Linked DNA regions of Arabidopsis thaliana. The protein of the gene in region 2 interacts with the protein of the main gene of each other region in a pairwise test. Each region holds a gene or a part of one and is shown on either strand. Other genes may lie near its edges.

The links. Proteins that work in one complex are often made in the same cells at the same time.
Region 1: the proteins of HB20 (region 2) and NF-YB7 interact in binary tests that used the Arabidopsis thaliana proteins (3 or more experiments, as listed by UniProt).

The regions. Positions count from the first base shown.
Region 1 is NC_003071.7:5,654,877-5,658,374, forward strand, and holds NF-YB7 (nuclear factor Y, subunit B7), read right to left. Parts: upstream 1,643-3,498; 5' UTR 1,614-1,642; coding exon 966-1,613; 3' UTR 515-965; downstream 1-514. Other genes in the region: NAD-ME1 (NAD-dependent malic enzyme 1), read left to right, coding at 153-227.
Region 2 is NC_003074.8:71,339-76,084, reverse strand, and holds HB20 (homeobox protein 20), read right to left. Parts: upstream 2,779-4,746; 5' UTR 2,487-2,778; coding exon 2,348-2,486; intron 2,272-2,347; coding exon 1,886-2,271; intron 1,126-1,885; coding exon 790-1,125; 3' UTR 546-789; downstream 1-545. Other genes in the region: AT3G01210 (RNA-binding (RRM/RBD/RNP motifs) family protein), read right to left, coding at 2,926-3,384, 3,459-3,557, 3,628-3,703, 3,788-3,903; RP2 (PPDK regulatory protein 2), read left to right, coding at 4,737-4,746. UniProt on the Arabidopsis thaliana protein: Probable transcription factor.

The sequences.
Region 1 (3,498 bases), on a different chromosome or scaffold from region 2:
AATCGTATTCTACGAAGAATGTCGATCGGGTTTGATTATATGTAAAGAACAGAAGAGTGTTTACCTGATTTCTCACTTAGAGAAAATAAAGACTAAACCAGAAACTAAGCCTAAATGTTAGTTATGTTGACGCGGTCTTGTGTATTCCGCAGGAGGGGCTGATGGAGTATGTGGAAAACAACATGTGGAATCCAGAGTACCCGACTTTGGTCTACAAGGATGACTAAGTTTGGTTCCCAAAATGAATAAGTCTACTTTCTCTTATTTATATGTAAAAATTTATAATTGGGGTTGCTTTATACCCAATCAAATTCATAGCTACTGCTTTCTCTTGTTCTTATGTAAAAAAAAAAAAAATATATAATTGGGTTGTTTGTTATCCAATCAGATTCATAGCTTCCACTTTCTCTTATTTATATGTAAAAAAGAAGTTATATTCAATCAGATTCATAGCAGCAACATTTTACATACATCGTATTAGAAATGCATTTACTTTTATAACTTATAGTTTCAGGTCAAGATACTAAGAGTAGTGAGTGAGGAACAATTTGAAGTTCTTTAATTCAAGCAATCATCTTTATCAATCATAACATGAGTAAATGAATGAGAAACAATACACCATTCTCTTCCAATTAAGCTATTCTCTACTGGAAACCTTATAAGCTAGACCACTAACTCTCAAACCGTAGGTGGTAAGTATTCTAATCCAATTAGCAGCATGGAATTAGTTTCTACTGTTGTAAATCATGAGAGATTGCTATATTTGCTCGAGACGAACTAATCCGGAAAATATATGAAGACGAATTTCTGTTACACAAAACCATGGGTATACTGAAAATATCAAAATGTACGTGTCTAGTGTCTATATAGCAACAAATATATATAAGCATCAAGATGTACTCACAAAAGGTAAAGAAAAGCATATAATATGTGAAAAGAAAGAAGAAAAAAAGCAAATGTCTCTCTCACCAGTGAATTGAATCAATGTTATTATCATGCTGCTGCGGGAACTGTTTCTGCAATGATTTAGGAGAGAAAGCAATATTGGGAAAAGGTTGATGATCCACTGGTAGGAATGGAGAAGGATGATGATGAGAGATGTAACTAGTACATGACATGTTGTTATTGTTTTGGTCTTGTTCTTGAAACTGATAATTATGATGATTCTGTTGTTGAATCTGCTGTTGTTGTTGTCTTTGTTGTTGTTGTTTTGGGCTGTTAACTTTCTCTCCTTCGGTGTCTCTATATTTGCAGAGGTAGACCTTTAATGGAGCCACGTAGTCTTCGAAACCGAGAGTTGTGATAGCCCAAATGATATCATCTCCATTGATGGTCTTCCTCTTTTCTCTTTGACACTTGTCAGAAGCTTCACCAGTGACGAAACTAATGAACTCCGAGACACATTCTTGAACGGTTTCTTTAGCGTCTTTTGAGATCTTACCGTTACCGGGAAGAACTTTTTTCATGATCCTTCCGACATTCGCAATGGGAAGAAACCGGTCTTGTTCTTTGTTGTTGTTGTTGTTGTTGTTGGTCTTTGAAGAAGGGCTTCCTGGATTTGTTTCAGCTACTCCAGGAGACCCATGATCTTCTTCTGGGCTCTCCTCAGTCATATCTCTATCTCTTTGTTTTTTTTTGTGATTGATGTTAACCACATGTGATCAATCTGATTTTATGGTTAAGCTTAGTGCATGAAACTAGGCAACTTTTCTATTTATGGATACCTTGCCAACCAAATTTGGAACTCCATGCGACTCGCTCCTTTTTTTTTTTTTTTTTTTTTTTCTTTGTTATTTGCCAGATAATAAAGAAAAGTGTAAGAAAATAGCAATCATGTAACATATTGTCATCAAATAGTGTTTTCAATTTATTATTTTCCGTAGTATGTTTATTTAGTATGTAGACAACTATAAATTATCATGTCTCCATAATGCTTTGATTTATTGTATTATAGTAATTTCCTAAACTCTAGCCTGGTAAATATATATGGTGGTTATTTATCCGAGAATATTACACGTAAAGGCACTATTTTGAAACTTTGGCCACAAATAGGCACTTTAAAAGCATTAGTCACTTTAACTCAGTAGAATTACCCCTTTACCCTGAAATCGTTAGTTTAACAAAACCTAACAAATTTAGCCGGTTTTCGGTTTAATTTTTTAATCTCAATCTCTAAACTAAAACCAATTTGTGAGAAACCTCTTTTTCTCACCCAATCCTTCACGACGATTTTACAGTTTCATTTATCTGGGCAGTTAAAATCATCACAACGACGATAACATCATCTCGACTCCGGCGATCATCCCAACGAGTTTTCTACCGGCAAAGTCATTTCCTCGTCCCTCTCCCGTCGTTATCGTCAACAAAGCTTTCAATCGGCCGACATTAATTCGTCCTCTCCCGTCGTCGTCGTCAACACTTGTTCTCCCGTCATGGTCTTCATTTTCTTGTCTCTCAATCGATTCGTCGTCTCCGGCGTGTGCTAGTAACTTCTACTCGGTCCTCAAATGCAAGGTATTAATCTTCTCCAATCATTTTATTTGCTCTAATTATTCAACCGTGTGCTAATTTTATTTATAATATCCAACATTGTGAAGAGCTAATAGGTGAAGACATGAATGCTACGTTAGGTGATATTTCAAAAATGTTAATCACAAGACCTTATCTTCTTACCACAGACTTCGGCTTGCTTATCTCCTCATTGTTGACGGTGTCCTCGTATCCTCAAACCAACCTATTACGTCTACATTAAAATATGTAGAGATGTTGGCAGATTTGGAGAAGTTCCTTAACTGACTGAGGTCTACGTAACTGACTGTCTATACACATGTGGATAAATGGTCAAAGAAACATGGATAATATACTTTGGATTGACGTTTATTGTTCATGTATAAACTTATGTATTAGTATGAAACTATCATGTGAGTCTTTAGATGATCATGGACTGGACTGCTTGGACAATCATTAATGGACAAATATGTCTTTGATTTGCTGCGAATATGTTTATAGCTCGATAAAATTGTATCAACATGTCTATATACATGTGGATAAATGGTCAAAGAAACATGGATAATGTACTTTGGATTGATGTTTATTTGTAAATCTTAATATAAATGTCATCCAGTCATAGTGAATTATCCAATCAGACAAACGAATTAATACAGTTATGTTGTGGATGGATTCATATGGATACATTAACAATTATCTTTATCTTTCAACATGAAAAGCGTTTGATATGGATACATTAACCATATCGATAATCTTATCTCTATATTGCTGTTGAATGTTTTAGTGGTTTGTATCATATTATTTGTTTGTTCCATCCATAACAACATTTTTTCAAGTGCATCTAACATTTGATATCAGTTAACAATGCGAAGAAAAATAAATAATTTTGTGTATTTTGAACTATTGTTTATTTGGTAAATCATTCTAGCTAATTATGTTTACAAATACGTTAAAACTTAATATAAATGTCATCCAGTGATAATGAATTAT
Region 2 (4,746 bases):
CATTGAATAGATTCATTTCACTCAAAACAATTTTGAACCAACAAAGAATAGATATGTCTATGTAGATGAAGTGAACGTGAATACTGTATTTGGTATTACATGCAACTACGTGACGCATGGCATAGTTTTTTTTTTTTTTTATAATAAAAAGTTAATGGTTCCATTAATCCATTAAGATTTAAATTGCAACTTGCAAAGATAAAATCATAAAATATAAAATATATATTAAAATAATCTTTGCATATAATATTAGTCATGGATCATGTTATGTCAAAGACAGAGCTGGAATCCCACTCGAAGTCACATGCATATGAATCTTTCTCACTTTTATATCCTTACTTTCTTAATAAATTTGTACCAACCCATCATATATATATAAAATTGGACATATAAGTTGAGAAAAATCATGATTTTTAATCTCACTCAATTGGTTAGAGGAGAGTTTTGTTCGGGAAGTAAAAGAGAGTGGTTATGCTTTTTTGAACCATTTACATATATTGTAAACTGTGATCAATCCACATACATCTAACAATGTTACGGCCGAATGCAAAGAACTTTATGATTTTTATTAAATTAAAGCAACAACAAATTTTCGCACTATACACCAATGCTCTACAAACCCAAAGAAAACAAAATGCTCCATTAATTTAAATTGAAATGAGTAGCAATAACATAATTCCAAAGAGAAGAATTGTGTCTTGATCTTCTCCTGATGATATGATGATGATGATTATGATCATTTGTCTTGATGCGTGCTGATGACTTTTTTTTGAGCTTTAGAATCATGAATCAGTTGAACTGGTGGTGGTGGTGGTTGTGGTTTGGGTCAGACCATGCCCAGTAACCAGCCGGCGTCGTTTCATCAATGCCATTAAACATGTTACAAAGGCTTTCTTCTTGAACTATTTCATGATTCTGATGATGATCATCATCATGTGCAGATGATCGAATCGATGAAGGGAATAGGTCTTTGATCGTGTTCACATGTGTTGTAATGGTCTCTCTAGGCATCTCCAGATTGATGTCTGAACTATTCTCTGTGCTTCCGTTGTTGCTCCATGAAGCTTCTGCTTCTCTCTTTACTATGTTTCCTTCATTACATTCTTTGTTCTTTAAAGCCATTACCTTTAACCATCATCACACACAATTCAAATGTTAAGTTTTAGAAATTCAGATATTAAAAATTATCATTTCTATATATCATTAAAATAAACATAATTATATATAATTTAAATTAACAAAATATTTTTAAAATGACTAATAACTTAAAATAGATAAACTGTAAGACTATATATGTAAATTATATATTTACATATACTTAGCTTAAGTAATTTTTGAAAATCTTGTAACTATTACATTTCAATAAGTAGTAAAATCATTTAAAACACACAAAAATGATATGATATAAAAATCAGTATTCTTGTCAAATTTGGTTAGCGCACACATGCCATTACTTGATAGTCATATGGGAATGTATTAATTAAATTGTAAATATTGATCAAGAATCCTTTTTATTAATAAACAAAACACCTACTGTCTTTTGACAAACATCTTATAGTGTTGGATCATGTGCCTAACAATAATCTATTGCATTTCGTATTAAACGACTTTAATACACACAAGATACATACATATATATATATATATACACTGATATATATACACATATATATATACTACATAAATAGTACCAATCCAAGCCAATAATCAGAAAAATATTTGTAGTCCTAGATTTATTTTACGTTGGTTATTACTATTAGTGCAAAACCAAAAATAAAAAAACCAAAGAAAAAAACAAACACAATCAAATTAGAAATGAAAGTTGAATTAAACACCTTATTTACTATATAAACACACATATATACTTACTTATATAGATACATACCTCAGCAAGGAGTTTCTTGTTATAGGCAAGTAGAGAAGCATTGTCGGATTTAAGAGACTCAAACTGTTTCTTGAGTGAATCATAATCTCTCTCGAGCTGTCTAGTCTTCCACCTAGCTCTCCTGTTTTGAAACCAAATCGCGATCTGTCTTGGTTGCATCCCTAATGCTTTAGCTAGTTGTATCTTCCTCTCTGGCTCCAGCTTGTTACCAAGCTCAAAGCTCTTCTCTAATGCCTTAACTTGCTCTAATTGCAGCCTCTTCTTCTTCTCTCCCAGCATAGTATGTGCCCCATCGTCTGATAGATTCTCCTCATCCAAGGTTTGATTATGATCTTCTTGCACGTTCATTAAAGACATAGATCTGTTCATCATGTAGTTTCCTCCTCCTATATACACCAACAGAATTCATGACTCAAATCTATTTATGTGGAGAAATAGTGAGAGAAAGAGAGAGTATAGTACCATTGAAGAGATGAGGAGGACAAGAAGGGAGCTGATCTTGACTGTTGTCTTCATGAAGTTGTTGGAACATAAAACCATGTTGAGGAAACGCCATCTCTAATCTCAATCCAGCTTCTGTTGTTGGATCAAACACATACATGTATGTATTCCACCAAAAACCTATCAGTGATTAATGGATTGTGAAATCAGTATAGTGATGATCAAATATACTTTGTTGTTTGCAGATTTGGAAATCACTATCAAATGAGTTAGGTGTTTCTTGTGGATCTCATCAACCTCTCATATAAGAGAAAGAGAGAGAAAGAATGAGGAAAGGATCAAGCTAGGGAGGTTTCTAGGACCCATCCTTAATATTTTAAAAGCTTTAGGCTTATTATTATATTTCATATATATTCTCCAGTTCATGTAATAAAGTTATTTTATAGTTTCTGCCTCAAATATTTTCGATCATGTAACGTTACTAATCATATCTTCATGATGGTTTTTTTTTTCTTTTTCTTTTCACAACACCTTTTATGCTTTAAAACCTCACATATCATTTATTTATGTTTTCCAAGGAAGCCCAAAGACTTTTTACATCAATTGCTTCCTCCTCCACCGATATGGGCCGCTGCTTTTGCAGCCCGGCCCAAAGCATCTGAGAACCATAAAGCCCCATTAGCAAAGTAACGACTGTTGACCACACTAGTCGCTGCAGCTGCAGCCACTTTCCCTGTAATGGTGGCTGCGGCTACAGCAGCTGTGCCCGTGACAAGAACCGCGGATTTAGTGAAATCCGAGAAATGATACTTCTCGTCCGCTGATCTCACGAGTTCCATACTCGACTGAATGTTCTGTGTGAGGCCAAGGTAATGGCTGATCTCTGCCAATTTGGTCGCTACCAAGCTTGAAAATCTCTGAGACTCATCCAAAGCTTTGGCTTTACCAATCGCGTCTTTGCTTAAAACGTAGCCTTTAGCTAACATCGTCTGCACAACTTGTTGAGCCACGGTTATGGCCTCTCCAGGCGATGAAGCAAACGCGTCTGAACGAGTCACCTACAAAGAAACATTTTCGAGAATCTTTGGCTTATAACCTAAAGTAACCTAGTAAGTATTGTTTTTAATGTTACCGTAACACTATAGTCTTCTTCTTGTCTGAGATTGTTAGATTCATGTAAATAGACACCGTAGACCGATATCCAAACGGTTTGATCAACGATCGTAGCTCCCTGAAGATCAACATTAAAATCAATGCCAAGAAGATCATACTGGAAATTTCTAGCTAATTAAGGGACTTACGCTAAGTAACACAGCCATATCCAGAGCATACGCATCTCTGAAGGTTACATAAGCCGTTAATGCATCCCCTTGGCACCTGAAATCCATGGAGACATGAAACAAAATATAAACAGATTCAAGAATGATTAATAATTTACTGAACAATGAACGTTGTTGTTACCCGGTGATTTCAACGAGCTCGACGATACCACAGTGAGAGAAGAACCTATGAACATCTTTCTCAGTGGCTTGAGGAGACAAGTTGGTGACTTGAGCAACGTAACCACAAGGATACATTATATTGTTCTGTTTTCTCACACGAACCTAGATACCTAAATCAAAGAACAAACATAAACAAGATTCTTGAATCACATTCCGTGAACCGTTGAGCGATTTTCTAGAGATTTATACAGCAAGAAATCTACAAAGCTACGATTACTATAATGATTCAAATAAAAAAAATAAAAAAGGTGTCCAGGCCAAATAGTTAGCGGAGAGGGAAGAAAGAAGAAGTAAGAACCCTAGATTATAATTGAATGAGATAAGAGATGAAAGTAACAGTAACAAAGATAATCAATGAGATATGTATCAACCAACCACACAATCGGAAACTTCGAGAAGCAGGGCACGAAAAAAAACTGATAGTGTATGTTCTGTTTTAGATTACCCGATTAAGGCACAATAGAACAGGACGTCACAGGATTGAAGCCAAGTATCGAAAGAGACGGAGAGAAAAGAAGACAAGATTCGTGTGATTGTGAGAGAGAAAGAGGATTCTTCAAATTTAAACAAAAAAAGAAAGAAGAGGAATGTTAACATTTAAACCAAAAAAGAAAGAAGAGGAATGTTCACATAATTTTTTTTCTTTTGTCGGCTCGATCGATATCGATGTTGTGGTCGACGATACGCGTCAAACGTAAGCTCTAGCGATGCGCGTGTTATTATTGTTTCCACGAGTCTTTTGGGCACTTTTTACTTAGGCTTTTTAAAGCCCAAATATCTGTTTTCAAGCCCAAGTAATTAGTGAGGACATTTTCGTCAATTTTTCATCGGAACGCAATTTAGCGGTTAACGCCTTAACCGTCGCTCAGAAAAAAAAAAAAAAAAAAGTTATCATAAACTTTGGCGATATGAATTTAC